Linked DNA regions of Drosophila melanogaster. The protein of the gene in region 2 interacts with the protein of the main gene of each other region in a biochemical or structural test. Each region holds a gene or a part of one and is shown on either strand. Other genes may lie near its edges. The genes, in order: Actbeta, tok, daw and myo.

The links.
Region 1: of the proteins of tok (region 2) and Actbeta, one has a biochemical effect on the other in vitro, tested with the Drosophila melanogaster proteins (one study listed by BioGRID).
Region 3: of the proteins of tok (region 2) and daw, one has a biochemical effect on the other in vitro, tested with the Drosophila melanogaster proteins (one study listed by BioGRID).
Region 4: of the proteins of tok (region 2) and myo, one has a biochemical effect on the other in vitro, tested with the Drosophila melanogaster proteins (one study listed by BioGRID).

The regions. Positions count from the first base shown.
Region 1 is NC_004353.4:1,078,035-1,087,088, forward strand, and holds the start of Actbeta (Activin-beta), read right to left. Parts: upstream 6,763-9,054; 5' UTR 6,580-6,762; intron 5,240-6,579; 5' UTR 5,093-5,239; coding exon 4,093-5,092; intron 3,174-4,092; coding exon 2,223-3,173; intron 796-2,222; coding exon 539-795; intron 486-538; coding exon 1-485. UniProt on the Drosophila melanogaster protein: Controls several aspects of neuronal morphogenesis; essential for optic lobe development, EcR-B1 expression in larval brains, mushroom body remodeling, dorsal neuron morphogenesis and motoneuron axon guidance.
Region 2 is NT_033777.3:24,717,354-24,723,094, reverse strand, and holds the start of tok (tolkin), read right to left. Parts: upstream 3,399-5,741; 5' UTR 3,356-3,398; intron 3,039-3,355; exon of another isoform or gene 2,875-3,038; intron 1-2,874. Other genes in the region: CG13630 (uncharacterized protein), read left to right, coding at 3,814-3,967, 4,037-4,774, 4,833-5,065; Polr2L (RNA polymerase II, I and III subunit L), read right to left, coding at 5,191-5,299, 5,383-5,477.
Region 3 is NT_033779.5:2,803,509-2,812,487, reverse strand, and holds daw (dawdle), read right to left. Parts: upstream 7,228-8,979; 5' UTR 6,887-7,227; intron 4,167-6,886; exon of another isoform or gene 3,952-4,166; intron 3,509-3,951; 5' UTR 3,178-3,508; coding exon 2,235-3,177; intron 2,121-2,234; coding exon 1,845-2,120; intron 1,340-1,844; coding exon 960-1,339; intron 891-959; coding exon 729-890; 3' UTR 112-728; downstream 1-111.
Region 4 is NC_004353.4:689,807-698,736, reverse strand, and holds myo (myoglianin), read left to right. Parts: upstream 1-2,681; 5' UTR 2,682-3,040; exon of another isoform or gene 3,041-3,399; 5' UTR 3,400-3,523; intron 3,524-4,320; 5' UTR 4,321-4,347; coding exon 4,348-5,356; intron 5,357-5,893; coding exon 5,894-6,312; intron 6,313-6,377; coding exon 6,378-6,746; 3' UTR 6,747-8,051; downstream 8,052-8,930.

The DNA.
Region 1 (9,054 bases), on a different chromosome or scaffold from region 2:
TCCTCTATAAAATGAGCATGAAATGTTTGGAAAGTGTCTGGCGTCCTAAAAGAGCCCGTGCAATCGCCTCGGCAATAGTTTGCAAAATATCCTCTGGGTGCAATAATCCAGTCATCCCAACCTAGTGCTTTGAAAGAAACATAAAAAGATTCTTTACAGCACTGTCCATTTAAAGCTCCGCCACAATCTACGGCGCGTCGCCTAACACGCCTTGTTCTGGATGATTCTGTATGAAGTACGAGAAATGGTCGATTGGGATTCGTACTCAAGTAGTCGGATGAGTTTCCTCTCAGTTTCGAAGTTTGAAAGAGGTGCAAAGAGTAACGACCACCGCATCCAGTACAATCAATCAACAAACGCAGTTTTTCGTGACTGGTATGGCCGTACCATTCACGGATTGTATCGGTTAAATCGAATTTTTGCCATCCTAAATTTTTCGGGTCAACTTGAAAAGAAGCTCGGAAGATAATAGCCTTATCTATTCCCTATAAATAAAGAGCTTTAAAAATTAGTTAAAAAACAATATTTTTAATGTTACCTTCTCCGTAATATTGATTGAAGTTGATAACTGAAATACCCATATTTTTATTCTGTGATGTGGTTTATTTGCTCCCCATTTTCGTTTAGTGTTTAGTAAATGTTTTTCTGGCAAACTTTTTGCTTTTTCAATCCAAAGACTATGTGGCTTGTCTATCCTTATATGAATCTGAGCGCTTCGTATGGATAATTTTTGGCTGGGAACACGGCGGTTTTGGGCCGAAAACTCGAGTATTCGATATTGTCGATATTGGGTTCCTTAAAATAAAATATATTATGCCAATGAATAAGAAGACTACACACAGTCATATGAGCGAATTACAAAAAAATATATTGCATTGTTTTTTTTCTTCAAAAACAGATATATTGTAAAGTTTACAATTTTTGTACAGTTAACTAAAAATCAAAGCTTTGTATATAAAATGTACTCTTAAGCGTTTTGTAGGCGTTAGAGATGGCGGATATTGGTAGACATTAAAAAAACCTCAACTACTTCAACTTTAATATAACGTATTTAAATATATTCGTTTTTGTCCATATCGATCGTATCGATGTCAGGGCCTGTAAAATCTAGAAAGTTCAGATAAAAAATTAAAAATTTCAGAGAAGAAGCACTCTCACAAGCTACCACGCTTACACTTTTAAGAAAGCGTTTTTATTTTTAGTCATTATATAATTTGTTTTGCCAATTTCTATCGGTATGCCATACATACCGCCACAAGCCGGTTTCTACTGATTTGCCTAATGTTTTTTGGGCACGATCACTCTTTCTTATTTTTATTACTGTATATTACTATTACTATATATTAATATATATTATAATATAATAATATATAATAGTAACTATAGTATATAGTATAGTATAGTATAGTAAAGTATGTTAAAGGCAGGAAGAATCGTTTCCGACTATATATAGTATATATATTCTTGATCAGGATCAATAGCCGAATCAATCTAGCCATGTCTGTATGGAACGTCTAGATCTCATGAACTATAAAAGCTAGAAGGTTAGAAGCATACTAGCTAGAAGCATACCGATTGTAGACACCTAAACGCATCGCACGTGTGTTGAGCCAACTCCCACAAACCTCCGAAAACTTTTGAAAAAGTTTTGATATTTTCTCATATTTTTAGTCTGTAGTCTTGTACATTTTTTTTTATCGATTTGTCAACAAACTTTTTGCCACGCCCACTCTAACGACCCAAAAAATGCCGCCGACAATTTTTTTTTTTTGACAAATTTGTGGATATTTTTTCATAATTTTATTAGTCTTTTAAAATTTTATGGATTTGCCAAAAAACTGCCACGCCCACACTTTAGAAAATTTTTTTTAGATTTTTCTTTGTTTTATTGTTTGTCTTGCTAATTTCCACCGGTATACCAAAACACTGTGATCACGCACATCCTTTCACCAACAAAACGCCCAAGAGGCTCACTCCCTCACTATTAAAGAATTATACAATTTTTTTCTCATTTTATTTCCCCGTAATATCCAACGATATCCCAGCAAAATTATGAAATTTCGCGTTTGCGTACCCACTAGTTATAACGGGTATAAAATAAAATTTATATTTACTTATTTATAGTAACAGGTATCTGATAGTCGGCGAACTCGACGTCTCTTATTTTTTAATTTGCCCTCGACGATAGCGTTTAATCCTGTGTTGAATAAAAATCTACTCACCCTCTTCAGCAAATGTAATTATTTCCTGCGTATTTCCAAAGAAGTCTTCATGATCAATATTTTCATGATCATCAGCAAAAGATTCGTGATGTCCTTTCTGATTTTCATATTCTATGTTGTGGATCGCTGGCTGATATCCAATGCTAGAGCGACCTTCATGGTACCGGTTTTTATCATGAGTCTGAACACTGTAATCGTTAAAATATTCATAATCATTGTGGCTCATCTCACCATTTTTGCCAGTATGGGTTTTATTATCAATACTATGATTTATATCTATAGGATATGTAGATTTTTTTAAGGCATTCTCATTCATTTGTGTGCCGTTGATGCCATTAACTTTTCTGACCGCTCCGCTTTTAAGCTCCTTAGGACTACTGTTATGGTGGCTCTTTAGTTCTATAGGCATAGATGCAATTTGAGAGTTTATTTTTAATTGACGGTTTTCTGTCCATCCGTTTAAGAATGAGTTTTTTTTATCGATTCGTTCTAAAGAACGATTTCTCAATACTTTCCCATATACATTATTTTTACTTATATTGAAAGTGAAATCGAACGGGGATCGATATTTATGATGACTGGGATCCCGTTCGCTTCTCTGATCGGTCCTTCCACCTCGGCCATTAAACAAATGTGATCCGGGCGAGGCAAACGCCCTCAGCTTGATAGTCTTCTGATCTAAATTCTTACCACTGCTCCCAAATGCATTGTTTGGTATCATTCGTCCACCATCGACTCGATATATTGTTTCCCAAATAAATTGCTTTGGTAAAGGATGAGATACATTAGGCTTGTGGCTAAGACCAAGCTTTGTCAAAATTTGCCGTTTTATTGACTCCAAACGAACTTCATCGCTGGGTGCAATGTTGTTATGGGGTTGATTAGTTTTTTTGTTGAAATTATTGTTGGAATGGTATTTGTTGTAGATGTTGTAGTCTGTGTGTGGATTATCTGTGTGAATGTGATAATTGTAAAGTGTTATGTAAAATTCATTATATAAATTTTTGTTGTTGTATGGAGTGTTTTTATGTTTTTAGTAAAGTTTCATTACCCGATATCACACAAGTTTTATCGTTTTTTAAAAATATTTTTTTGTCTTGCTAGCATTATTATTTTAAGATTTGGATTTATTTTTATGGTTCACAAAAATCTCGAAAAGAAATAAAATCAATAATCAAATCTATTTATAGTTTCTGAAATCCAGCGCCTATGACCTCTACTGTTTTTTTTTGCAATACCGAGTTTGACTAGTATTGTACATATTTACGTCACTGGAGCGACATTTCCTTCGTTTTTACGTTAAGAACAATATATAATTTTTTTATTTTATGACAATAAAATTAGACGAGACAGGAATACCTTTCAAGACTCGTAATGTTTTAATTCAAAAATATGTACGAAATTAATCGTGTAGCAAGCAAATTTTTCCAATCCTTAAGATAAACAAATTGCAATATTAAGATAAAAACTCACCCAGACTATGAAAATTTGTTCTAGATATTTTGTATTTTTTGTTATTTACCCTTTTAAGGGGGTATGAATATCCCAGGCTTACTGCGGGTGGTCCTTGTATTAAATATTATTTACATTACTAGTGGTACAACATTTGTCAATAGATATTTAATTTAATCATTGAAAATGATTTTATTTTACTTAAAAATAGCACAAAAATCTTACAAATTAAATTTATTTTACAAAAAATTCTGCATTGCAATAGTTTTGGTACAGTACGATAACCGCTTATTTCACAACAACTCACATCTGTTTTATCTTAATAACGCCAAACTCAATGTAGTTTTTTTTAGTCTCAATAAGAATATTAAAAGATTACCCTATATTCAGTATGTAAAAAATTTTTTTGAAAACTGACCTTTATCGGTGTATATGTTGGGCTTTCCGCTTTCATGGCACAAGGTGCAGCCCTTGTGACTCTCCAAATTCGAAGCATAATAATTACTACTGCTGATCCCATTGCAATTTATAAGTTTGACTTCAAACCAGACGAGTCCAATTAGAAGCCAAATAAGATTGGCTCTATTGCGTTTAATCTTTGAACAGTTACGCATTGAACCATGAATCGCTGGCCAAGGTGCTTCAATTTCCCTCAAAGGGGACACCAGTAGGCTTCTCTCTGACTGACTAAATAGTTTACCTCCTTGTACTAAGTCATAATTAGTTCCGTAATTTGTCTCCAAAGACTGGCATTTGGCATCGCTAAAATTAAGTCTTTGCTCAAAGCCGCTCATATTATCTTGCATTAGATGATGAAGTCGCTTAGTATATCTGTGCCTGCGTCGTCTGTGATTGCGTCGGCGTCGCCTCCTTCGCTGTCGTTTACGATTGCGACTTTTACAAAGCACTCTACATAAATTGTTGGACTTTACCTGTTGGTCGTTATTTATGTCATACGATGTATACCCATAAAGCAACTTTAGCTTCGTCTCCGAAGTGCTACTGGGAGTTTCATTAGGTGTGGTAGGAACCGAGACGTGCACTGTCCTACTGCTGGCTTGGCTTCTATCTGCAACTCCAGACTGGCCAGGCACGGAAAATATGTCTAGGAGTATGCAGCTTGTCAGGAGTGTCGCTACCGCAGTAACCCACCGAGCCAGCACTAAAATAACCGCCACAAACCTTGATACTCTAAGGACTTCGAGGTCAGCAACTTTTTTACGCATTGCAGCGGGTTGTGGAAATGACTTCCGGGAGCCAAGGCTGTTGCAGCAGTTTAAGTTAAAGCAGCAACAGCACTTTACAACCACAACGCAGCATCCTTGGCGACAGCAGATGCATTGACAATTAAAGAAACACCTGCTGCCTTTGAATGGCGCCCCCGATTGCGAATGATTAGAATCGAAGGCAAATCGCATCTTTGATATATGGCAAGCGTGTAGTACAGGCACTGTCCCTTAGAAACGTGGTACAAGTATTGTCAATTTTATTTTTCTGGTAAATATTTTTTTAATCATTGCAAATCTTTTTCCTTTCCTTTCCTTTCTGTCGTTCATTTCGTCTGCCTGTTCAAAATACAAATTTTCGATTAGATAAGTGGTAAGCTAACTGGAAATTAATATGGACACTAAACAAGAGAGGAGGCTACAAATTGGCAAATAAATTAAAAACACCGGAGAAAGCTATAGTCGACTTCCCCGATGCGAAGTTTCATAATTTTTCAGGGATATTTATAAATATTGTGCAAAAAGATACGAAAAAGTTTTAAATTTGTTTGAAAATGTGGGCGTGACCGTTTCGCTCGTTTTGTGGCCAAAGTGTTTTTTATATACAAAAATTGGTTCCAACAAGGCGGTGCAACAGCACATACTTCAAGAGCATCGATGGCTGTTTTGAGGGAACACTTTCCAGAGCGCCTTATCTCAATTAGAGGCGATTTGGAATGGCCGGCACGATCTGTCCCCTTGTGATTTTTTTCTATTGGGTTTTTTGAAGTCCCGTGTTTATGTGAACCGTCCAAGAGCCCTACAAGATTTGAAAACCAACATCCAAGAAGAAATTGCCATCATAACACCTGCCATGCTAACAAGACTCACGACAAACGCCAGAAATCGGTTTACGCAATGTATGGAGAATGGGGGACGTCACCTATCAGATTTCATCTTCAAAAAATATGACATGTACGTACAATATAAAAAAAAATAAATTTTTTCCGATGCCTACAATAGTTTTCATTGAGTTCTGAAAAAGGAAATTATGCTGCCGCACCCTGTATATACTTTGTATGCTCGGCAATGCTCCCTTCTACATGGTACTTACTTTTTAACGTATATAGTATACCCTTTGATTCTACGAGTAAGGGAATATATATACGGGTATACAAATCTTAAATGATATATTCTCCGAATACTTGTTTACTTGATAATTAACCAGTAATTGAACCAGTTTGCGTTGAAACGGACGGACGGTTACGGCTCTTACTGCTAGCCATACAGATGAACATATATTCTTCGTGTGGTCGTAATTGTCTCCTTTACTGCGTTGCAAGAAACTGACTTAAATCAATATACACTTTGAAAGGGTACAACACATTAAAATTAGTCTAAACCTGACGCCGAGCTTCGGATGGCACAGTTATTATTACGCCAGAAATACTTCATACCATGCACCAACAGAAGCGGACAGACAGACTCATCCGTCCCTTCTGAAGAACTCAAGGCGACACACAGACTGTGTCCAGATGAAAAGACCTACGCCTGAATGGTGGTTACTTAGAAGCCTAGCAGCGGAAAGGGATGAAGAGGAATTAAAAGCATGCGTTCAACAAAAAAATTTGTACATATGTAAGAAGGAAGGTGGTTATGTGTATAGGCTTATGATCAGTGTATGTAACAATATGTATCACCTTTTTCTTTTTAGAAACAATAAATTTTCAACTAAGTAAATATATTTCTTCACGAGAAATATTAGGGACACTATCACATTTTCACGATTTATAAATGTATTATGCTTTTCCTTTTAGCACGGAAACAATATTTTGTATCTCCGTTGGTTGCTAAATGACATTGCATACTTTGTGAAACTAAGATGACACTTTAAGCTTTTCAAAAGCTTTCTTGAAAATAACAATATTTCAGCGTTGCCATATTTGCACCAGAAATATCTGTTGCCATTCAAATTAGAAAGAATATCGATGCTATCGATATATGCTTCCTTTCACGATTAAAAAGTCGGCAGATTCAAATGGATGAATTTCAATAACCTAAATCATTTTTAAATCGTAATCGTAACTAATAAATAAAAATGTTGTTAAGCGTAGATGGAATCGTTTACCCAAAATTCCAAATTAGCAGTCGATCTTGTGTCGATCTATGTGCGCCTAAACATTAACAGATTTATCTGTAAAACTTTACGTCCAATTCAGTTAGATTCAAATCAAGATATAAATATTAATATTATATTCATTTGCTAGTACGAATGCGAACGCAAAATTTCATCATTTTTCTGGGATATCGATATTAGGGGGAAATAAAATGGGAAAAAATTGTTATACCTGTTATTCGTGGTTTGCGGGCTTTATATTGGGCGTTTTTTGGCAAATCGATAGAAATTTACAAGACTAATAAAATTATGAAAAATATCCAATACATTTTCATAAACGTGGGAGTAGCAGTTTTGGTCGATTTTAGCGCTTTGAGTGGTCGTGGCAAAAATGTTTTTTGCAGATCGATAGAAATTTACAAGATTATTAGTCTTGTATGAAAAAGTATGTATGAGAAAATATAAAAACATTTTTCAAAAGTGTGGACGTGGCAGTTTTGTGCAGTTTGTGGGCGTTAGATGAAATTATGAAAAACTATCCACAAATTGTTCAAAAATGTGGGCGTGCCAGTTTTGTGCGCTTTGTGGGCGTTAGAGTGGTCGTGTCAACATCTGTCAACAAACTTGCGCTGCGTCTATGTCGCTTGAATCTGTATGCTGATCTCAAGCTTTTACGTTTACGTACAGTACATGAGATTTCGAGTTCATTCGGAAAGACGGACGGTCGAACAGACGGTCGGACAGACGGTCGGACGGACACACGGATACACGGACATACGGACAAGGCCAGATCGATTCGGCTATTGATCCTGATCACACTTTATATGGTTGGAAACGCTTCCTTCTGGTTGTTACATACTTTCCAAATGTGAAATTCGAGTAAGTATTCTATTATTTTGCTGATTTTAGTTATGCAAATCGATATAAGGAAAAGCCCAGCAGATAATATTTCTTTATCCTTTACTTGTTAACAAAAAAAGGGTAAACCGTACTCTCTGAAGAATATTTAACAGAAAGAACAAAGAGGATGTATACGTAACTTCACCGGAATACCTACAATTATTGGCTACATTTACTTTTTACTTCCTTCGAAACGATTGCATCAAACTAGAAATAGAATACGAATATTTTGTTGTTGGTTGTTTTCATCATATACATACATGTACATAGACATAACAAATAAATAATTTACGTTTTGATACAAGCAAAAGCCTCGTAGGAGTTACTAGAATCTGGACGGATAACTTCAATTTTTTGATATCTATAGTTTTATAGGTTTTGACTTTTATAAAGATGGACCGACGGACAAGGGGACTGACTGGCATGTATCGGTCGTCTACGTTAGTGGCACGGGTTAAAAAACTTTATCCAAGACATTGTTTTAATTGGAAGAGTATATAAACCTTAGTTTGCCGATATCATGTTATTCTGGTTTTATGTGCTATCGACTTGTTAAAGCCCCTTCTGTCTGTATGTATTAACTTTCGGCTCCCGAAAATCTCCGGAAATAACTATATGTATTATTCCGGGAAAGAGTATACCAACAAAGTAAGTAGTATAAATAAATAGTACATAACATAATATATACAGCAGTAGCATTTCCAGTACCTAGCAGCCAAAAACAACCAAAAGAAACGGCGGAAAAGCTGTCTCGGTTGGCTTGCAGACCGTGAAAAGCCACGAGCCACGATTGAAATACCGAATTTCATACCAAAACATATGAATACCGATTGTTTATATCAAAAGCTACCAGGCGAATTCTACAAAAATATTTATATACTTACATATACACACATACACACATATGAACACAAATAGTTACCCACCGTTTAGCATGCGGAATAACCAAAGAAAAGCCTTCTAAATGAAAAGCTACTAAAAAAAATTTTCGAATATTTTTTTAGAGCTTATATTGGTCAGAATTCTTCATATAAATACATACATATATAATAACATAATAATAATATTTAAGATCATTGAACTTTTGCTAGTGACTTAACACCAGTTTTGGTACTAATGCACGAATTAACCACGTAAGGAGTATATATAAGCAGAAAGG
Region 2 (5,741 bases):
CATCCCCAGTCAGGCAGACAAACAAGCACTTGCGACATATCATTAACTTTGCTTTATAGCAACCGAAATTGGGAAGAAACCAAGTGATTCGGAGGGAAGGGGGTGCAGAAAAAGTGGCGTGGCAAAAGATGAAGTAAAAATACAGAAGAAGTAGCTTGGGGTGACACTTTCAATGGCAGGGTGCTCCTGTTCTCGAGGACTTTGGAGGAGGATGTGGATGCGACGGCTGCTTGTTAGCAGGATGGTGTCAGCTGTTGTGCCTACATAGGGAAAAATATTTGTATTTCATGGGATCTTACACTGAGAAAATTCAGCGAGCAAACTAATAACGTGCAAGATGTATAAAAGGACAGGAACTTTTGGGTATTTTTCGCAAGTTAATAGTAAATAACTATGATTGAGCCATTTGAAGAATATAGAGACCTATATTTTTATAAATTTTTTTGTTATGTGTAATAAAGACCCTTTCCAAAAAGCCCCCCAATTCATGGCTGCTGTAGCAGATACAGAATACTTAGTAATATCCATAAAATAACTCAAATCTCTTTTGCAGATTTGCCACCCCGCCTGGTTGGCAGGTAAATTTGGGGTTTAATAATGCCTGTGGTCTATCCGGCGTCAAGTGCAGTTATCTTCGGCTGTCCACCTTTTAGATACCTTTTAGATGCCTCCACAGCTCCTCGAACTTAATTCGCTTTTAATTTTTACCCTGCTGCGACAGCTAAAAATGCGGAAAAATCCCCATTGCCATGGCAAAAAAAGAAGAAGACGGAATATAATAAAGTGGAGAACAAGAACCGAAAAATACAGCAGAAATTTGTTAAGCAGGCGCTATCAGTCTGAAGTGCGTGTTCCAGGAAGATGAGGGATGTGGAAGATCTGGGTTCTGGGATGTGGGATGCGGAAACCCAGGGGCTGACAAAGGCAAAAGGAAGTGGACGAGGTGTCCTGGGAAAGGGAATCCAAATGAATTCTATTCAAAGCGCTGCTGCCACAAAATATGAAATGAAATGTTGTCGCTGGGGAGCGAAGGGGGAGGGTGGTGGAGAAATGTTGTTAAGAAATGCATACGCGGGCAATTTTTATTCCTTGCTGTACTGTCCTGTTGGTCCTTCGTCCTGAGAGGGAAGGGCGAGGGAAAGATCCTGCTGCTTAAACACGAAATGCTTAATGGCCAAGTTGCCACAAAACGTTTGCCAGACAAGGGCCAACTCACTGGAGCAAAAATGAAATGCGTTTTCTGGCTCCCAAGGACGAAGGACCTTCCCGTCTGTATGTCTGCCTATGTGTGTGTGTGGGTGTGCTTATTGGAGCGTAAGCAGCCTGGGCAACAATATCAATATGCGTCTTTTGTGCCAAAGCATTTCCCCGCTAACAATTCTACGCCACCGGAAGTTGATATTCTGGCAACCGGAAGTGTTAGGTGTACCGCCCCAGCCCCCCCCCCCCACTCCTCCACAAACTCAATTCAAAAATTTCATATTTTCCATTTCATATTCTTCCACCTTTCTCTACGCATAAATTTCCATCAGCTTCCATTCGGCTGGCACACAAACAAACAAAGTACGCACTGCGCAGCATATGAAAAAGTTCCGAAGACGAGCAGGCAATGCAACCAAAGCAAATTAAGGCTGATGTCTGCCTTCCTGGACCATTTTGGCCTGCCTTTAATTGCCGTCGAAGATCGAGGATCGTTGGTCAAAACAAAGGGGAACATAAAAAAAGAGTAGACTGACTGCCGGGGAAAAAATAAATCAATAAAAGGCCAGACAAGATGAGTTGGGTACACAGAGATCGAGTTCGTTGCCATCGCATAGGAATTCCCTACTATTTCGCGGCTTTTCGCGGCCACCTTGACTTTCGCAATTGTTCCGTATTGCAAAAAAAAAAGAAAAAACAAACAAACAAAATAAGACACACATGTCTGTGCGACACAAAGCGAAATCAGAAATGATTCTATTTTAATTATGCCGGCGGCCTTTAGATTGCCAATTGACGAGATATGTGCTGCGTCTTAACGACGGAATGAAAAGCGGAAAAGTGGAAACCGCACGGCGAAGATAATAGTGTGTGTGTGGCAGTGTGCCTGTGTGTGGTCGCGTAAAACGCAGAACACCCACCAATAATAATCAAGCGATGCTGGTGGTGCTGAAAATCCGGCGGAGACGGGCCGGGGGATTCTCACTGCTGCACACACCGCGTGCCGTTTTTTATTTATAGCCATTCGAATGCTGCGCTCCTATCAGCAGCAACAGCAGCAACAAAGAAGCAACACCTTCAGCCATAGAAACAGCAGCAACATATGAGATTGCAGCAACAGCGGTAACTAAAAAAGTTGCAGCAACATACGCGATAGCAGCAGCAACATTGACATCAGCAGCCGCTTTGGAAACAGCAGCAGCACAAGAGACAGTAGCAACACATGTGACAGCAGCAACAGCAACTATGGAAACAGCTGTAACACATGCAGCAGCAACATATACAGCAGCAACGACAACAGACAGCAGCAGCAGCATCCTCAACAAAAACAGCGTGTTTACTTAACTTATTGTCGTTGGGCGCGGGAAACCAGAGAAATGAATAATAATAAACATGTTCAACGCAAAACCAAAGATCAGGGCAGACACTGATAACGCTGATTTCAATGCACACACACAAAACGATCGTAATCGAATTTCAATCGAGTACGAAGATCACGAGGACAAAATCAGTAATTGGAGGAGCGAAAACCCTTGAATTCACTTGTTGAGTTAGTTAAGTTGCGCTCGCAAATGATGCGAAACTCTGCCGAAATCTCAGCATCCCTTGCAGGTAGAAATATTAAAGGGGTCCTCTTTTTTTTTTGGCCAAACCAATTCGAAACAAGACACTCACTCACTTCACTGGCCAATAAATTTATCCTGCTGCCCTTTGCGGATATTTGCGTTTGGCCATTTGACTCAAACAAGTTTGTTGCCAATATTCTTTTGTTTCGCGACACCGATTCCGAGTTTACAGCGAAAGCACGTCCGTTCACGACCGAAGTTGCTCGCGATTTGAGAACATAAACAGAGCAGACAGATAAACCGAGTCCAAGTCCAAACTGTTCCCACCAAGAGCATGCGCCGAGAACAACTGCGGAAAAGTGCCCAACAGGCGGCTGCGTTTGAACTGCCGCCCCGACGGACGAAAACAAAGGCCACGAATTCACGGGGCCAGTGTCCCTTAGCCAGATCAAAGATCTCCGCGAAGAACTTACATATTTAATTTGTTTACTTTCAAATTTCGAACGATTTTAAACCATTTGTAAGGAAAGCCCTTATTAACTCTTTTCTTATGTTAATTATCATATGAATACTATTTACGAATCACTTACCATAATAGTAACATTTTAAATGGTTAAATACACATAAAATGGTTATCAAGTTATTTCCAATTTTAAACTAATGCCCGTTACAGCCGGCGACGAACAACCCTGGCACAAACGTATCGATAAGAACAGAACTGGTCCCAGGCTATCGGTGCTTGGAAAACATCGGATATCGATGTAGCGCCATTCTTAAACATTGATTTGGTATTTATTTAATATCAACTTTTTTAATGTTTAATCAGAAAACAGTATTTAATATCAAACCAATAGAATTATGATTTTGCTTGAAGCGTAAGGCAAATTTCCCAAAAAGCCATATTGCTTATATATTGTCATATAATGGTATAAAAAGGTATTTATTTTAAAGCTTCCAGGTATTTTCTATCGTTATCGGTGCGGTCACGCTGTGTTAAACTATTTTTGGCAGGCACGGAAATTTTTCTCGCATTAATTGTTGAAATAGAATGACTCAAAAGTGCGAGACAACCAACTGCGGCAAGGATGCGACCCTGCAGTGTCCCACCTGCCTAAAGTTGGGCATCAAGGGCTCATTTTTCTGCTCGCAGCCGTGCTTCAAAGGATTCTGGAAGGAGCACAAGGCGATTCATGCTTTAGCAGGTCAGTTTTAGAAAGTCTTGTTCCTAATGAGTTGGATTGCAATGAAACCATATAATTCTCTTGACTCAGCCGGTGCCTCGAACTCTGCCGAACAGGATGGAGCCTACAATCCATGGCCACATTTCCGCTTCACCGGCAAGCTCCGCCCGTTCCCACAGACTCCCAAGCGAACAGTTCCGAACGCCATACAACGTCCAGATTACGCCGATCATCCAGCAGGACGTTCACTCTCGGAGGAAGCACTGCGGGGCACCAAGATTAAGGTGCTGGACGACGAGGAGATCGAGGGCATGCGAGTGGCCGGCAGATTGGGTCGAGAATGCTTGGATGAGGGTGCCAAAGCCGTGGAGGTGGGCATCACCACCGACGAACTGGATCGTTTGGTCCACGAGGCCGCCATCGAACGGGAGTGCTATCCGTCGCCCCTCAACTACTACAACTTCCCCAAGTCCTGTTGCACATCGGTCAACGAGGTGATTTGCCACGGCATCCCCGATCAGCGTCCTCTACAGGATGGAGATCTATGTAACATCGATGTGACCGTCTATCATCGCGGCTTCCATGGTGATCTCAACGAGACCTTCTTTGTGGGCAATGTCTCGGAGAAGCACAAGAAACTGGTGCAGGTCACCCACGAGGCGCTCAGCAAGGCCATTGAGTTCGTGCGTCCGGGTGAAAAGTATCGCGATATTGGCAACGTGATCCAAAAGTATGTGGCACCACATGGATTCAGCGTGGTGCGCAGCTATTGCGGTCATGGCATTCACCGTGTTTTCCACACAGCTCCCAATGTGCCTCACTATGCCAGTAAGTTTTCGAGCTGGCTAAAAGTACTTTGAATATTATTAATGTCCTTACTTTGCAGAAAACTCTGCCGTAGGAGTAATGGCCCCTGGCCACTGCTTCACCATCGAGCCCATGATCTCCGTTGGCGTCCAGAAGGCTGAAACCTGGCCAGATGACTGGACTGCTGTGACCGCCGATGGCCTGTACTCCGCCCAGTTTGAGCAGACACTGCTGGTCAACGAAACCGGATGCGAGATTCTCACCAAGCGTCGCGAGAACAACGGACAGCCGTGGTTCATGGACAAGATGTGAGGGTCGACCAACTTGGGCTAATACATAACTTCTAGGGCTATCGATCAAGCTTTAATTTGTAATTTTACAATAAAATCTAGAGTTTTTATTCCCAAGTCCAGTTTGGATGGTTTCCATTGTGCCGTTCACTTCTCCAGAGGAGCATAGTTGAGCAGTTTTTCGATAAGATCCACGTGGCCCAGGAGCATGCGACGGCAGCAGTACCTCTTTAGACCCAAAGCATCCAGGGCATCTCTGGGATTGGATTGTAAGATATAATATATATATATTATATGATGAAATGCGGCGTGGAAAGGAGACTTTCCCGCGTGACTTACCCTTCGGTGTATTCCGCTTGCAGGAGACCCAAATACGACTCCCACTTGTTGCCAATGACCTTGCCGCAGGTGAAACAACGGATTGGAATAATCATTTTGTAGATCAGGCTCTAATTCTTAGTTAAATCACGAAAAATGTGCAATCACAACAATGTTTTTGGTAAAATGTGTTTTTACTTGTCATGAGTGTGACCAGAGTGCAGTTGTATTTTTATCTCACCAGCATTACAATGTATCGATAACACAAAAACTTATATCCATTCAAAAAGAACGCTAACGAATATTTGAATAAATTAATGGTTATTTTTATTAACTACCGACTGCTCGCTACATGAATGCGTTTTTTACAAATGAGTGTG
Region 3 (8,979 bases), on a different chromosome or scaffold from region 2:
ATTAAAATCAATCACTCTGCAGTTATAAAAAAAACTCTGTGACGTTTTACGAACAGGTAAGTAAGCTGTTTATTAAAAAGCAATACATTTTTACAAATCAATTGTTGAATTGCAGAGCTTACCAAACTGTAAAGTGCCTAAAGGTATGCTATATTCCATGGACTTCCTACAAACCAATTACATTTTCGACACAACGTTTTACCATTTTTTAATTAGTTAGGATATTTTCTAAGACCCTACATTCCATATTGTAACTCAGATACTTGGTTTTCTATACAGTAATGTGCATTATGCACTCCGATGAGTTTGTGGTACGCTGCCCCTATGAAAAATGCATATCTTACATTATATTAATTATGTTTTATTTTGCGATTTTCATGTTTTCTGCTAATAACTCAAAACACGCTACTTAAACAATGCAAATCACTACTTTACGTTTAAAGATAGCTATTAAATTAATTGAAGCCATTGGCTAACTACCTACATACTTCGAGAGCTTAAGTACATTGACTTTAGCTTTTAACTATCAACTAGTGGCAGCTCAGGCACTACAGGTAACTACGATTAAATGACAACGCTAATGTAAATGCTTTGCAAAATGAGTTTAAATTAGTTGGAGAGAAATGTAGTTGGATGGTTGGATGCTAGCTGAAATGGAGCGAAATGGAGTCTACGTCTAATTTGTCCGATGTAACGTAAATGTAACTTGGCTAATTCTATTCGCCTCTCTATCTGCAGCCACATGACTCCACCACCATGTTGGGCAGCGTCTTCACCGTCGCCGTGTTGCTCGAGTCCATCACGACCAGCTGCAGCGAGGAATACTGTTTGGCGGTGCAGCAGGGCACCAACTCCAGCGACTTGTTAGCACCGCTCGTGGAGAGAATTTTCTGCAAGGGAAGAGGATATACATTAGTTTCATCATCAACACATCAGTTCCTGTCGAATGGGGTACCTACCATTATGGAACTGTGGTGGGAGGCCGCTTGCGTAACACTCGCCACCGAGCTACAGGATCCGCGACAGAAGTAGGCATTGTAGCCCTCCGGCTTCAGGATCCAGTTGCTCCAGCCGATGTCCCGGAATGATATGTACAGGTGCTCCCGACAGCACTCGGTCATTCCGCTGGAGCAGTTGATGCTGCGCTTCTGGCGACTCTTGCGCCGCCTGTTCTGCATGTCGATCACGATGAATGGCCGGTAATCCTTGTCCACCGAAATGATCTCCTCCATGTCGCTGACATCGCAGCCACCGCAGGTGATTTGGATGAGGTGGCTCAGCTCGTGGCCACTGATCCAGTGTTTGATGGGCCACTCAATGTCGATCTTCATCCACTCATCTGAAAGTATGCGAAAGGAAAGGCAGAGCGGTTAGTTGGGGGTTCCACAGAGCCATCTTCTCTTCTCCCAGAATCGTAGATCCCATCTTTCTTATCTGGTAACTGACCCCAGGAACTCACAACTGTGCTGGGTTGTGGCCAAAGTTCAGTTTTTGCACCCACGAATAATGCTTTGTCAAGTTATTCACCCACATGAATTTCAGATTCGAGCCGAGCTATCAAGCAGTGCTATCACGAATCTGCGCAATGATCTGTCTAATTGAAAACACAAACAAGCGGTTGTCAACGTTGGCACTTATCGGCGTTCTTTATAATTTTTATAATACCCATCTAGTATAGACATGTCACATATTTTGATTTGTCCCCCGAGGGTATTGAGGGTCAGTTTTGGCCGTTCCGCGGCTGCCGACCAAAGGTCCAAACGTGTGCGATTCTTTTCTGGGCATGATTACGCTCTGGGGGGATGAGTGTTTATGCTATACTAATGTATACTATGTGTACCCACCTTGCACATTCACCGACTGGATGGCTATGGTCTTGGCCGCCGACAAATACTTGGAGTCCTTCTGCTGATCCACCTCCACCTCGGAGACTACGATCGTCTGCTGGGCACTGGTGCTGTTCACCGATGCCGTGTCGGTGCGGTTCTGTTTGTTCTTGAAGAGCCACAGGACGGCGGTGCTCACGTCGAAGCCCTCGGCATCTGCGTCGTCTATCTTGAAGGTGAAGCACATGGACGGATTGGATTTTCCATCTCTCGCTCGGTTGCACTCGACCTCCTCTGTAAAAATAAAGGATAAAGGGTTGTGTTAGCAAAATCAGAATGGTAAAAGGATTCCCTTTGAAGTTAAGCTTCAATCTTTACTTTCTAGTGCTTAAATCTAGATTTGCTTACCTCTATTGAGCAGTATGAACTTCTTGCTAGTGCGAGCGTAGTAATCGTCCAGCTCCTTGTTCTTGGTGCTATCGTCCGGATGGGAGAGTGTCATCCCGTCGAAGATGGGCTTGGGCAGCTCCACGGCCGACACCTTGGGGCTCTCCTTGAGGCGCAGCTTCTCCAGGATCTGCTGCTTAACGAACTCGATGCGTAAGTGGGTCAGCTGCTCCTCGGTGATGTGCTCCACTTGGCGATTGCTCTCGCACTTGGGGCATCCTCCGGCGCTGGACTTCACCGAAATGGTGATGTTCCTCTCACCCAATGGGAGCTCTGGCTCTATGGGCGTTTCCGGCTGCTGATCTAGGTCCAGATCGAGATCGAGATCCTTCTCCTGATTCTGCTGGTCCTCGGCCATCAGTTCGTTGCGCACAAAGTCCAGCGGCGACAGATCATCAAAGTGATCATCGGAGGAGAGGGATGACTCCTCGGGGGCATCTCCGTACATGATAGGCAACTCCACGGGCGGGCTCACATGTCGGTGTGCCTTCTCCTCCTGCTCCATGAGGTGTTGCCACAGGCGGGGCACCTTTAGCTGCTCCGAATGGGAGCCGGGATGGTTGTAGCTGAGCTCCTGCTGCAGGAGGTGCTGCCTCTTGTGGATGACGTGGCGCCTCAGGCGGGCATAGTACTCCCGCTTGGTGATCGGTACATCGTCCTCCTCGCTGGTCGGATCCGGTTCCAGGTGTTTCAGCTGACGGGATCGTTGCTGCCGGATATGGTGTTGCTGCTGCAGCTGTTGCGAGGTGTGCTGCACATGGGGATGCGGCTGGTGCTTAGGATGCGGACGAAGGATGTCGCCACGGGAACTCGGATGGGAGCGGGCGTGCAGGCGATTGTATACGTTCCTGTTCTCCAGGGCCAGACACACCAGCAACACCAGGGCTATAAAGTACTTGGCCATTTCTGAATATGTACTTATGACTTCTCTTTTTTTTTAACTGTGAGATATTTTATATGTATCTTATGATCTTCTGGATCGCCTTTGGTTTCACTCTTGTTTTGTCGGCTGGGGCTGATTGCTATCTGTTTGGCAGCATTAAAACATCAATTTTTCCGGCTTTCAGGTTTACAAAACTCATAGAATTGCAGCTGGTTTCACTTATTGTTGCCGTTTTATAGCCTTGTTTAAGCACTTTTAAAACGTTTATGCGTTTTTTATGATTTTATATAACAACGACTTATACGCTTGAATGATGCATGTTCAATATTTTAAACTTTTCGTTAAGTTTCGTCTGCAAATAAGAAGAAATTTGTAACTTAGTTAATATTGTAAGCACATTCCGATTATTAATCAAATAAATTAAAACAGCTATGCCCTAAATTTTCTCATAAATATTTGCGAACGCGCTGCCCCAATTAAAATGCAATTTAATATGCCAGCGGATCAGGTGCATTTATCACTATCACTCACTAAGCCCGAAGTCTCGCTTAATTTTTGCACCAAATTGCATCATTTATTCCATATCGTTGAGCTCGAATTGGCAGGTGGCAAAGTGCAAATCGTTTTTTTGACATTAATTCCGGGAAGATTTAGTTTAGTTCAGTATTCAATTTCACATTATCACATGGGCTATTTGCCCCAAGTGCGACTCAAATCGAAAGCGTAGTTGCGCAGATCCGCTGATAAGCGGGCTCAATTAGATGGCAATTAGGTGGACGTGGACCCCACACGTACCGTGGTGAGCACACTCCGATTTGCTCCAATGGGATCTGAATCTGCTCAGCCGGATGAATCCGGCGGGGGTTGCGGCATTAACTTTGAACCCGGACACGAAACACGAGTGGCACGGGCCTTTAGCTATAGCTGGGATCGCGCGTCTATATAGTATTCCACTTGTGGTATGGTCTATGATATAGTATGGTGCTTCTTTCTCTTCCGACATGCGGCAGCGCAAACGAGTTGTGAATGAATGAAGCGGTTGGCTGATTAGTAGAACAATTTATGTGACGATCGCCGAGCGTTTGATTGATCGTTCCGCGAGCGCCAGCCGAACCGAACCGAACCGAACCGAAACAATCCGAACCACTCGAATCGCATCGTATCTGACGGATCGTTTCGTATCGGTTGCGGACTCGGATCCAAGCCGAGCGGTTCGGGTCTCGATTTATGACTATAGACCATGGTTATGGCTACATGGCGCTCTCTCTTTAGCCGAAGACAATTGGATATGCAAGTGGGGTGCAGCATTGCATCAGCTTCTTGAAAACGCCAAGCCACCGAATTGCATAAAATTCTTAATTGCAATTTTATTTTTAACCTCCCGCCACCCTGACAATGCCACGCCCCCAGTTGGCGGCGTCACTATCTGTTGGCATTTTTGGCACTCGCTTGGCCACAATGGGGCATTTTGATATCAAGTGAATTTATGATCGCTTCAAACCGAATCGAATCGAATCGAATCGAGTCGAGTGGCCCATTCATGCTAATTACCCCGCAGCGTTATCAAGCTTGACTTTGATGATCCGACTCGATTGTGTGTCAATCAATTAATAGTGAACACGTTGCTGATAAGGGGCGGTTTCCCACTTTTGGTCCACAAATCGGGAGCATGGAATATGTAGTGCGGCATTTAACCAATTAAGTACGCTTAGCATGCGATTCTGGGCAATCCTAATCGGATTCGGTTAATAGATGCGCATTTCAAATACATAGTGTGTCTGTTTTCCAATTTAAATGCGAATGGGAAATTCATGAGTATTTCGGTTGGGAATTTCATCAGCCAGAATTTCTGGTCTCGGCTAAATGTGAAGCAGTCGAGTAAGGTCAAGAAAAGTATTTTGAAGGCCGGCAGATCACGAGTTATATTATACCGCCTATTCGATTTAGCCTTAAATGCTGAACACGTGCCCGATTCGCTTGTCACGAACTGTGATTTTTCTGAACCCAATTAGATCATCGAGACGAATAGAAATGATCTATACTATACGGAGGAGAAGGTCCGTTTAATTGATAGAAATTTTGTAGGCCTCAGCGAATTCTGGCAACATTGTTGGTGCGGCTTAAGCAAAAGCAAATTAATAGGGGTTCTTGTTAGGAAATAATACAATAAACAACTATAAGTATTGCATACTCCCCAATTTCATATTAGATTATGACACCTTTGACTTGCACAATTAAGTTTAGTTTTACGTGTTCCCATAAGTTACATAAGGTATTACACTTTTCCAGTGGCCCTTTTCCAATTTAAATGACGTCCTGGCCTTCAGCATATGTCGCACCACTTATCAACTCATCGCATATTTTTCCACAACCTACGTAGATTGCCACGTTCCAAAATCTGCTCCATTTTGTTTTTTCCAACACAACCAACCTGACGTCGATTAAAGCGACTGGGGGCCACATAATGACGGATCAGATCGGATGGGATGGGATCTGATAGAATGGATGGGGATCGGATCAGGAAGCAGGGCTTGGATTGTAGCACACACGCGACATGTGACACGTTTTGTACGTACTCTTCGTTTTTGACGTAACTCGAGCTGTCCGCACTGCACTGGACTTAATGACTGACTTGACTGACCGACTTATCAAAGGCAGGAATCGAAGCCGAGGCGTGCGACTGCGATGTGATGGGGGCCCGCGGAAAAGGGGTGCCGCTGGGAAGGGGGACAGAAGTTGAAGAAGGTCATTTAACGCCCGGCAGTCATGGCTACGTCATCGAGCACGCCACCAGCGCGTGATCAGAAGCAAAAGCTGTAGTGAAGACTCCGCGGTTGCCATGTCGATGCAAATCGGAGCAAAAAACTGCTGTGCCTGTGAATGGGGAGTTGGGGGTCTGGCGATGCGTCGATTGGAGGTGCAAAGTACAGCCGCTTGATGGAGATGGCTTCTTGACTAAGCGACTCTGCTTGGGGGTTTTCCATGGGCCTGCCCGTATCATTTTCGCATTAATTACGGGGCAGCTGGGACTGGATGTGGGGCTGGGACTCGGACTTGGAGTGGGGCTATCGTAATTGCCGGCAATTATCACTTGCATTTCTTCTTCGCGCGCAGCAGTTGAATGCACTGCGACAAAAACACGGCTGCTTCCATCGGTTTTTGGCAATAAATCACGGCGATCACGCCGTTCTCGCCGATCAGCGGTTGGGAGCATGCCACGATCTGGACTTTGGAACCGCTCACGGAGATTGCCCCGATTGCCAGAAGCCAGAGGCCCGAAGCGTCGCAAATTAATCTGCCATAATACTTTTCTCGCCACACGCTCATCGGCGATGCTACCATAAATCAAGTGCAGGATTAAATAAGATCATCATTGGTAGCAACTAAATTTGGCCAATGACTCTCGACGTGGCCGAAATTCGCCAAGAGCTTTTGGAGGTTATGCGCCTGGGTTATAGGCTCGAAAACTATCAATCAATCAATCGGTGATAGATAGGCCTCTGATCGATAAACCATTCACTGCATGATTAGTTTTTAATTACGGCATGATATTCCAAAAGCGAAACTAGAAACTTCCCTGCGATTTGGTAATAACTGATATTGAGCATTAGACTGCTAAAAAAAATATACAATTTCTAGTATCCCATGTTGAGGCTGATTCCATAATTCACATTTTTGGCACTTTTATTTAAACTTCTTACACAATAAGCCCTTGTGTTATGTAACTCACCCAAATTAATAATCCATTGTCAAAATGCTTGAATAACTTAGCACATTGTTTGCAATCTTCTGCGAAAAGGGATGCTTATCAAATGTCCTTGAGTGATTCTACAATCGATTGTCCGTTTATTTGTTTTCGCAAATCACTTTCGCAAACTCATTATTGTTTTGAATTTCACCACTTGAACTTGATTTCCTCAAAATGACGAGCTGATATTTCGCTGAGCAAAAACAAATGTTTTGAAGAAACATAAAGTATTATTCGTTCACACCAAGTTTCATGTACGATTTGCACGATTTGAATAATTTTCGATCCGATCGTTGGGAACGTCTGCGTGTGAATAATTCGACGATGGGCGGCGCAGCGGCCACAAAAGCCTGGAGCGGTACGACTAACGGTATCTGTGGGGAGCGGTATGGGTGTGAGTATGGGCCTGGGTATGGGTATGGGTATGGGTATGGCCCACTCTTCGGGCGGCAGACAGTTGAGTTTCAGTTTGTTTGATAACAGACACGCCGCCGATCATTGGCGCACTCCGCTGCTCTGCGTTTTAAGCGATGCGCAATTCTACTTTGCTTCCAGCAAGTGCGACAGAGAGAGAGAGAGGGAGAGCAGGGAGAGCCACTGATAATGGGTGGCTTTCCCCCCTGGCCCACACAGCAGCGTTTTAGGTCCGGTTGGCTCCCATCCGATCGCCTCCTGCATCGAACACCCACGCCGCTCGAGGCTGGAGCATCGAACAAGTTCGCTGGCCGGCGCTACATGTTCGATGGCCGTTCGTGAGTTCGAGCTTGTTGGGAATGAGGATCGAGCCCCAGCATTCGTCACCCAAAAACGTGAGCTGACGTCGTGCCGGTGGGGTTTTATCGCTCGATCCAACCGGTCCAAAGTTCAGCGGCAGTCCAGTCCAGCGGATTGCCTTTGACTTTCCCTGATAGCCGACATTGCCTAATGGCGATTGGTTCTCACAGCCAAAGCGATACCATCGCTTTCTTTTGATGGCCCAATGTCTATTAATAAGCGGTACTAGCGAGAGGTATGACTAAAATTGACGTATAACCATGAATGCTAGAAGAAAGTACATATGTATCATCGAAGAATATGCAAACAATGTCGTGTAAAAGACTGAACAATTAGATGTAATATAACGAATGAACTAAGTATACTCAATTTCAGACTCCACCCTACGTATGCCTTCCTGTTTTTGTTTAGCTCTTGGCCAGCTAATCGCTTTCCTCTTGACCAATTTACGATGTGGCTTTTACGACGTTTGGGGTTTCTTGTTTTTAACTTGCTGGCTGCTTCAATTGATTACCATGTGTGATATCATAATTTTGAAGTTTTCACGCCCGTCGAGCATGGGTCTCTTGAGATTACCTCGGAGGACAATAGTATGTAAATGGCTAATATTAATTAAATGCTGGCTCTGATTGCGTATCGCTGTGTTTCACTTTCAAACCTCATGCCAATCGACTGATTAAGTCCGTTCCGAGTTTTGTTTACCTTGAGATTTCACAATAAAGCATTCACCTCAAATATAATGCGATGGAATCGCACAATATACCTTTCGTGATTTGTATACTCAGGATCGAGGCAAAATCTCACTCGAAACGTCTAATTTTTAAATGTGGCGCGCGTGCTGAAAAACACGTCACAATGCACGGCTTATCGTGGCCGGGCCTCTGGAATTTCAGTTTTTAATTAAAACAGTGTTTTGGTGTCATAATTAAGTCAACAATATATGATGCTTATACCCTTGATAGGGGTACTATGACTTTAGTTACACGTTTGAACTGCAAGCTTAAAGTTACCTTAAACATCTAAAGATTCATTCTAATATTTTCTGAACTATTCATCGCTTCATTTGATTATAAATGGCCTTATTCGTCTAGACTTTGGCCTTGCATTTGATCAGGAAAATTCTATGACTGTCTAGTGAGCATTTGATTCAAATTACAGATCAGGAAAGTAAAGTCTAAGAATGTGAACTCAAAAAATAGAGTTATTGAAACGATTTGAATCTATTTCTACTATTCCTGGTTTAATAGGTTAAGAAGAGGGCCAGCAGAACAAAGTCTTCTGATTACAGAGGATTTCTTGTT
Region 4 (8,930 bases), on a different chromosome or scaffold from region 2:
TCGATGTTTTATTGCTGTTGCTATTTTCAGATCGAACCTCCAACATAAAAAGTTGTAATATCAACTTTAGTGACGAAAAAATTGTCATTTACTTGATAAACACACTATATAAACGGTACTCATTCCGCACCCTTTTTTACTTATCCACCTTTCTTTCCACTTTGATTTTAAGAGTGCCAAATGAGTAACGCCCGCAAATTACAATGGCAATTAATCTAACCGCCACCAGCTTAAGCTATCGACCAATATCGAAGAGTGTTTTTCTTTTTATTTTTTCTCCATCTCTCAAAAGAGAGTAGGAGTAAAAACTCCTACCAGCAATGTAAGGGGTATCTGTTAGTTACGATCTGCGTAGCTATATTATAATATAAATCATAGACTAATCACAGATGTCATTACTCGGTATATATAACTATTTCCTTTTAAGAGCGTTGTCCCTTTTTTAGAAATGTGCTTGTAAGACTTCATTCTGCAACTTTCTCTCTTAAACACGGTGGCGATCGGAGAACATCTTATGGCCTCACCGAGTGAGTGGCAAGCCAAAGGGCATTACATATAATTTTAAAAAAAAACGGTATATTCCGAATGGGTGCAATGTATGACACAAAATAAAAATATTAGAGTTTCTCTTCTAATATTTTAAATTAAATTTCTGACCTTTTAAATGACCGTCGTCACTTTTTGGTTAAACCAATTCGAAATTAATTACGGTCAAAAGCCTTATTAAAAAACTTTCGGATCATAATTATTTCGACTAATATATGTACTACCTGCAATAATAAGAGGGCTTTTGGGAAAAATTCACACAGATGGGTTTAGTTAGTAGGGAATAATATTTACAAAATATACATACATATTTATATTACGAATGGTCGCACATGTATCCTGATTCTTTTATTAGATATTGATTGTCACACATTTTCTTCGATTTTCGGATGGGGGAAAAACAGTATGTGATTAAACACTAAAACGAACGTTCGTACAATATTGTTTATGCAATATTGTTTATATTTTCTGTGTATTTTGGTATTTTGTAGTATCGATTGGACTTCAGCACGCATCTGCTCGTATCAGGATGGCAACTCTCGGCGTGTAAAAATACAAACGGCAACTCTTAACATATATAGAAATCGATATGGCAACCCAATACCAGTGATTGCGTAGAGAATACGTTATTTTCAAAAATTCGATGCAGTAAATAAATAAATTCACAGATATAAGAATGATAATTTAGCAGACCTAAAGAATCGGTCCATTAATGAGCTATTAATAGTTCAACTAATCTACTCGTTGAAAATGTTGTGAAAAATATTTGAAAGCCAACTAAAGCGTTTCCTATTGTTAAACCATTGCAGAGCGTATAGTGATTTCTGTCAGAAAATTGCAACGTAGTGGAAATAATAGAAAAAAAATTATAAATTCTTGTTTTTGATCAGGAAGTATTTTAGTTCTGTATTTATCGGTTGAATGCGTGATCGCCATTTTCGTAATATTAGGTTTATCGCACGATTACCATCTATATGTGCGTAGATGAAGGAAAATTGACGCACTTGTTGAAATTATTTTATTTAAATCTTTATTATAACCAAAAAAAAATCGTAAATTGTTAACCACAATGGAAAAAATAAGTAGCTTACAATCCATCCAATAAATAATCTCTTATCAGTTACTTTGTTGATACATAAAAGAAGTCTTCTCCATTTGAATTGCTATTCTTAAGTAAAACAACAGAATTGCTGATACAAAGCAATAAAAATAAGTTAGTACAGTGTGAACACCTATCGTTTTCTTCCATATCGATAGGAAACTCATAAATGTATGTGTGGAAAGGCTTAAACATCTGTACGGGCGTCGATATATCGACAGCTAATCTGGAAAACACTAGACATCGCGGTAATTGTCCCTACCCTTTTTATGGAGTTCCCAGATTGCCTTCTTACACAACCATATTAATGGGCAATAATTATATAAGAAGACTGCGGAACAAAGGGGACCCGCACGAATATGTACTTGATTTAATATAAGTTTCTTTTATACACATAAAATTATTTTTGCATACTTATGTAAGTGCGTTGGGTACTTTTTATTAATTCCAGAGTAACGACATTTTTGCCGTTAATTTAAAACACGAAATGTTAGGACAAGAATGCGGAACTTCGGTTAAATTTTAAAAATTCCTTTGTATCAATATAGTCATTCCAGTAGTACAAATTAATACGCATGTAATTTTTGTTGTATAATAGCACTCAATTTTGTGTAATAAAAAAAAACAACTAGGGAACCAAAATTATAGAGACAAATCAAATCCTGCTAATAAAAATATATCTTATATAGTTTCTTCGGGTCTATTTGAAATCTTTGAAATGTAAAAATGTCTACACTCATAACTTATAAGAGTTAAAACGGCTTAAGGATTAAATTGATTTACAATAGAAAGTGATTATTAGCGACAGTGGAAATATAAATAAAATGTTTTCTAGAATTGTAAAAAAAAAAGTAGGAGTATATTCAATAAATATTTCATTTTAATATAATGCTATTTTGCTCGATAAAAATGTTAATATGAATTAAAGTTTACTCTTGCAATGCGTTTCAGCAGATACATTTTTAAAAGCGGCCTGTTATGCCAACTAAAACGAAATTGCCGGTGAGCCGTATGTATCCGATCGCATCTGATCAGCTGCTTTCAGTTCTACTTCGTCGCTCAATCGCACAGCAGTACAGAATCTCTGCGGGTTTTCAAATATTGGTTCTCTATGAGAAATAAATTATTATTATTTAGTGCGCAATTGAATACACAATTTTTTCAAACTATGTGTTTTTGGACAATGAATAATAAATTTAACAAAAGCGGATTGCAAAAGAATAATGTTCGAAACCGTAGGCCCACTGTTACTTCAATATAAAACATTTAATAATATATACTATACATATATTAAAACACACAATTGCCTAGTTTCAAAATAGATTTTGGTTGTACAAGTGTATAAAAATAAAATAAATACCGATAGATAAGTATATATCTACTTATGTACAATTGGTAGGTGTTTAAAAAGTTTGTTATCGCTAAATGTACATAACTTTGTACATACACAGCTTTAAAAATGTACATATGTGCTTATATGCATGCTATTTATTCTGTATGTATGTATAATTTACGTATGTACATACATATGATATATCTCATTTACGTTGTTCTGCTTGTAAAAGGGGAATAATGCACTTTCAGCGATGAACTGAAGTTCAAGAGCACAATAATTTATTATGTTTATAAATGGTTTTAATTGAATACAATAGTGGTCATAAAGAGGACTCATGTGAAACGTTTATGAACGGGCTTTGCATATGTGCATGTACATATGTAGCTTGAACTAACTTTTACGACTGTGTGCACATTAGGGTGGTCATTTTCTGCTGGCGCATCGCGCTTCCAAGGCGGATCAAACAATGCAGATATGATTTTTAATTTTTAAAAATCATTATATCCGGTGCTGCAGGATTTTATACTTCTACTATATTCAAAGTAAGTTTTTTCGTAGCCTGAAACAAGTTTTTGAAGGTTATTATTCCGTTATTCCGAGTTTTAGAATATTCACGAGCACACAAATCAAGTGACGATCGCAGCCTCACCGTGCCGATTTGTGACGAAAAATGGTTTTACAATTGTCAGTGTTTTTTCCTAAGCTTTATAGCCATAGAGCCATTTTTCCCTATGGCAGGTATATAAGTGTATGGTCGTCTGATTTTGATCGATTAAAAACCTAAATTATATATTTTCAAAAAAATGTGCATACTGAAGAAGAACTCTTTTTATTTGAAAACAACGAGTCTATAATTTTTTTCAACAGTTAGCTATATGATATGATCGTCAAAAGTCTATCAATTTAAAACCGAAATATTATATTGTCCAAATTTTGCCAATAATTTTAATATTTTTGAAGTTAGAGATCGTCAGTGGCGTAAGCTATTCAATTTTTTTTTTTTTTTTTTTTTGTATTGACTCGCGAAGGGGAATCATTGACTTCCGTGCTAATGCTTTAATAGGGTTTAAAGGGGTGCGCTCTTCTTTTTTCTCTGCACAGCTGTTTAAGGTATTACCTTGGGAATCCGACTTAATCGAATACAGCAGGGGATTATCTAACAGCTTGTATTTCGCGATTTGATTTTTAAAAAAATTGTAAAATAAGGCCAACAAGAGCCAAGTTGATTGGATGACAAGATCACCAGCCGCTGTCTCCAAAAATAAATAATAATTATTATTTTTATTTTTTCTTATTTTAAAATATATCAAGTATATTTATAAATACAAGTCCTTTTCAGCATTCATCAACGGTTTGATCAAAAATCATGCTGGCCAACTCATGCTGCGGTTGGAGAAAATATAAAACCCATGATCAGCATCATAGAACCCTAAAGAAAAAAACTCGACAGAACACATCAGATACAACAGTTCACATAGAAGTGAACTCCAACGAAATCCAGTTTCCAGGTTCTTACAGATTTAATCTTGACTCAAAAAAAATAAATATCGGGCGAATGAATATTCTTGGACATAAGAGAGGTAATTTCCGTGTAACTCGATATGTCACGGTCACCGTACTCTTAATTTTATCGACTGCAGTCAATGCTTATGCTCAGCCAGAAAATAAAAGCTTCAGTAATTCTTCCAACAACGATAGTCCGGAAATGGTTATGTTGAGTAACGAAACAAACAATAGTGCAAAAGTACTATCAGAAAAAAATGGTTCTTCTTCAATATCGGCGGATGATAAAATAAATGAAAATATGGGAATATTCCAAATGAAAGTACAAAGTAAACCGGGGAAAAAAAGTACCCCTTTAGCAAAGGTATCAGAGCATGGAGATTTATCAAGAGTTCAAAGTGTATCTTTGTATCGCAATACCTTAATAAATATAGAAAGTATGCTACAGCGTCAGTTGCGTGAGAAAGCCAAAGTGGATAGTATAGAATCGATTAAAATGCACATACTTATGCGCTTGAATTTAAAAAAACTTCCCAATATAACAAAACCAATTTCAGTACCACAAAATATAATAGATAACTTTTATAGAGATTATAATGCATCTTCAAAAACTACTGTTTGGAATCGCATGGAAAGCATTGACGAATCTCATTTGTCTATAAATGACACTTATGGCGACCACATAATGACTGATTTTTTTGATGAAAGTTCATCCTCCCAAATGCAGGGAGATGATGCTAACACTGTTAATGAATTTCTGATAGATTTGAATAAAAATCAAGCTAAAAAGTCGGACATTCCTATTAATACCAACGATGAGGAGTACGAGAGTATTTTGTCTCACATCAGCAGTATATACATATTTCCCGAGGGTAAGTAAACAGCATTCTTAAAGTAGATATAGATATAGGAAGATATTGAATAAGAGAAGATATTATATATAAGAGTAGGTATAGATAAAGGGAGGAAAAGACAAGGAGAGCTTAAGAGAAGTAAAAAGCATATATAACGTCACTAAAATCTGTGTAAATATATTTCTAGACTTTTTGTAAGTAAGAAGCATAATCATTTATCTTATATTTATATCTTTTTTGGGCCCGATTTGGTTATAGGTTTAGATTTCGAACTTTTTTCCTTTAATAAGAGAAAGCAAGCAAAAATACATATGACTTCTTCTCTATCTTTAGAAATTGTTTTCCCAAAATTCATTGGCGTAGTGTATTTTCAAAAAAGAATCGACACATTTCCTAAAATCTTGACGAGGTAAAAGACAAGTGGCATTGACCCCTTTAACATACAAAAAATGAACTGTTTACAACAAACATTAATCAATACCCAATTTTTGCTTTTAAGAAATCAAATTTCAATGAAAAAATTAATAATTTTCGTTTATATTTTCGTTCTTTTAGAAATTCAACCTCATGTTCGGCACAATCGCAAGGTCGATGTTTTTCGGTTTCAAATTGACAGTAGCTACTCAGACTTGTCTTACGCTACCCTTCATCTATATTTACGTGGTTGGGATTGGATAAGTGCTCATCAACCTGGACTTCTTGAAGAAATTAAAAAACAGCCACGTAAAGATATTGTTGTGACTATTCACCGCGCTATTAGGGTTGCAAATACAACAAGCTTTAATCCTAAAGTCAAAATGTTTGAGTTTCGACATAGTATTCCGTCAGGACTTGGACAATGGGTTGCTGTGGACTTAAAGTCTCTGCTTGGTAATCTTGGGTCTAATATGACGCAAGAAATTCTAATAAAGGGCGCAGAAACCTGGATGAAGTCATTAGTGGTGACCACAGACAACACATCGAAAAATCCATTGGTTAGAAGCCATTTATAATGAAGTTGAATACACTTACTCTACTAAATATATTTTTAATATTTCAGACTGTTCACATAGAAATTGGGTCGCAAAAAAAGCATCGAAGAAAGCGCAGCGTATATATGGACTGCACAGAAAATGATCATGACATGCGCTGTTGTCGATATCCCCTCAAAGTTAATTTCACCAGCTTTGGATGGCATTTCGTTGTAGCACCAACGTCCTTTGACGCATACTTCTGCAGTGGTGACTGCAAAGTTGGTTACCTAGAGCAATATCCCCATACACATTTAGCAGCCTTAACGACATCGGCCACACCGTGTTGCTCGCCGACAAAAATGAGTTCCTTAAGTTTGTTATATTTTGACGATAACCATAATCTGGTTTTAAGTGTTATACCAAATATGTCTGTCGAGGGTTGCAGCTGTTCTTAGCGAACAAAATTCGAAAGTGTTCTTTGAAAATAGAACTAATACATATGCTATGTAAATAAATTAACGCAAAGGAATATGGATCTGTTTGAGAAGGCTAGTTTAAAGTACAATTCCCAAATTTGATATAAAATTTACATTTTTAAAATGTAAAATAGGTCAGATTGCATGCTGATGATTCCCAAATTAATAAATAGATCGCAATTAAAAACAGTAAAAAATTAAAAAATATTTAAAAATGAATTCCTACATTACCGTATAAGATAAGTATAGAGCGAAACAATATATTTTAAACTGTGCATTACGAATTACAAATGAAAAGCAAACAAAAAATAATCGTTTTAAATAAAATGATTGTATGACGCATAAAGAAATACACGGTTAAAATAAACTAAGTACCTTAAGTTTTGATAAAAATTGAGTGAATAACAAATGGCACCGTCAGACAAATATAGTCTGAACGGAGGCTACATGTGGATCATTTACGGTTGTGTGATTACCTAATTTGAATACACAGCTAAATGTATAAAGGTGTTCATATCCCGTGCATCGTGAGCATATAGAATATTTTACAGTGAACGGCTTTGTGCGTGTGCAAACGAGACTTCCATATGCTGTTCTTTTCAAGACAAGTAAGGATTTGTATGAATAATGTTGATTAGAACAAAGGCTAACCTTACGTTTCGCAAAGCACACAGAACTTATTTCATAATAATTAAAAGTTAAATAACGTGCCAGAGAAATATAGATATACAAGTAGCAATGCAGCGCAGTGGCGTTACAGCGCTCACTTTCTCTATCTCCATCTACATAGTGTTAAAAAAAAATATGCTAGAATTGGTTAGTTTTGAAACTTATTCCGATTAGTTCCTACGATATAAGCTCGAATGCTTGGTTGAGTGCCAAAAAGAACTTATTTTTCTTATGCGTTATTTTCGAATCTTCTATTAACACTACTTGTCGCAGGATTGGCTTCTAAACGTTTGCAAGAGTACTTAGGAGTTGTCAATAATAATAATTTTGACAAGTGCTCCAACATTAGCTGATGATAGGTAAGCACTTAAAGGGGATAGTCGTGAGATGATTGTGTGACATTCCGAATATAGAGTGGGTGAAGATAAAAACTCTTGAAAAAAATTACGGCATTTTGCCAAAAACTTAGGCTCGCTAAGGAGTACCATCGCCAAGGAGTCATACGATCTTATCTGGATTACACGTCTAAAGCGTTCTCTTGTTTTTTTTTTTTTAATAGAATATGGGTTTCGATATACCTAAGCTTTCGGTATAAACTCATAATGTCAACCCCCCCCCCCCCCCCCTTTTACTAATAAGCCAACCAATTTATTTATTTCCGAAAAATTTATTATATAACCATTTAGTGATACATTAGTATATAAGTTGATATACTTATATTTCCATAAATATTTCTCATATAAATTTAGGGCTCTCGGTTCTTAAGTTGGCCCTTTAATGTGAATACTAATCAGTAAAATGGGAATGCCGATCTAAGTCGATATATGAAATGTACTTTAAGATATATTACTTTTTGTCGAACACAATACGGATATTTTCATATTGTTAATATTTTGTTTTTTGTTGTTTAATGTTTGTTATTGGGCGCTTACTTCTCTTTTAATTACTTTTGTATTATACTTATAATTATAAATTTTAAATTAGGTGAACGTATTTATATTTTACATCTATATTAATTCTTATTGTTGTTTTGCATAAATTATTTGTTTTTGTTTCCCAATTGAAGTGATACCTCGTTTGAATTAGTAAAACATTCGTTGTAAATGTATTAGCCGCCAATTATAAGTTAAATGCAAGTCCTTACAAACTGTGTACAAAAATATTTACTACTCTTTTTGTTTGTACGTATTACAAATTATATTTTTTGAAGACTATTCAATCTTTTATTTGAGCGTAGCACAATAGAATTTATTGCAGAACCAAACGGTCGAATTAAATATGCCACCAAGATGTTAAACTTGGTAAAAATAAATTAAATAGACATTCTTTACGTCTTTATTGGAATTAACATTTTATTGTTGCACAATTTTTTGCGCTATTCTAAAATAAAAGATAAAATGAAATTTAATTTGTAACAAAATATGTAAGCAACATTTTCAGGTAAAAACATTTAAAATATTGACTATAAATTGCAATTGTGAAGATATTATATTT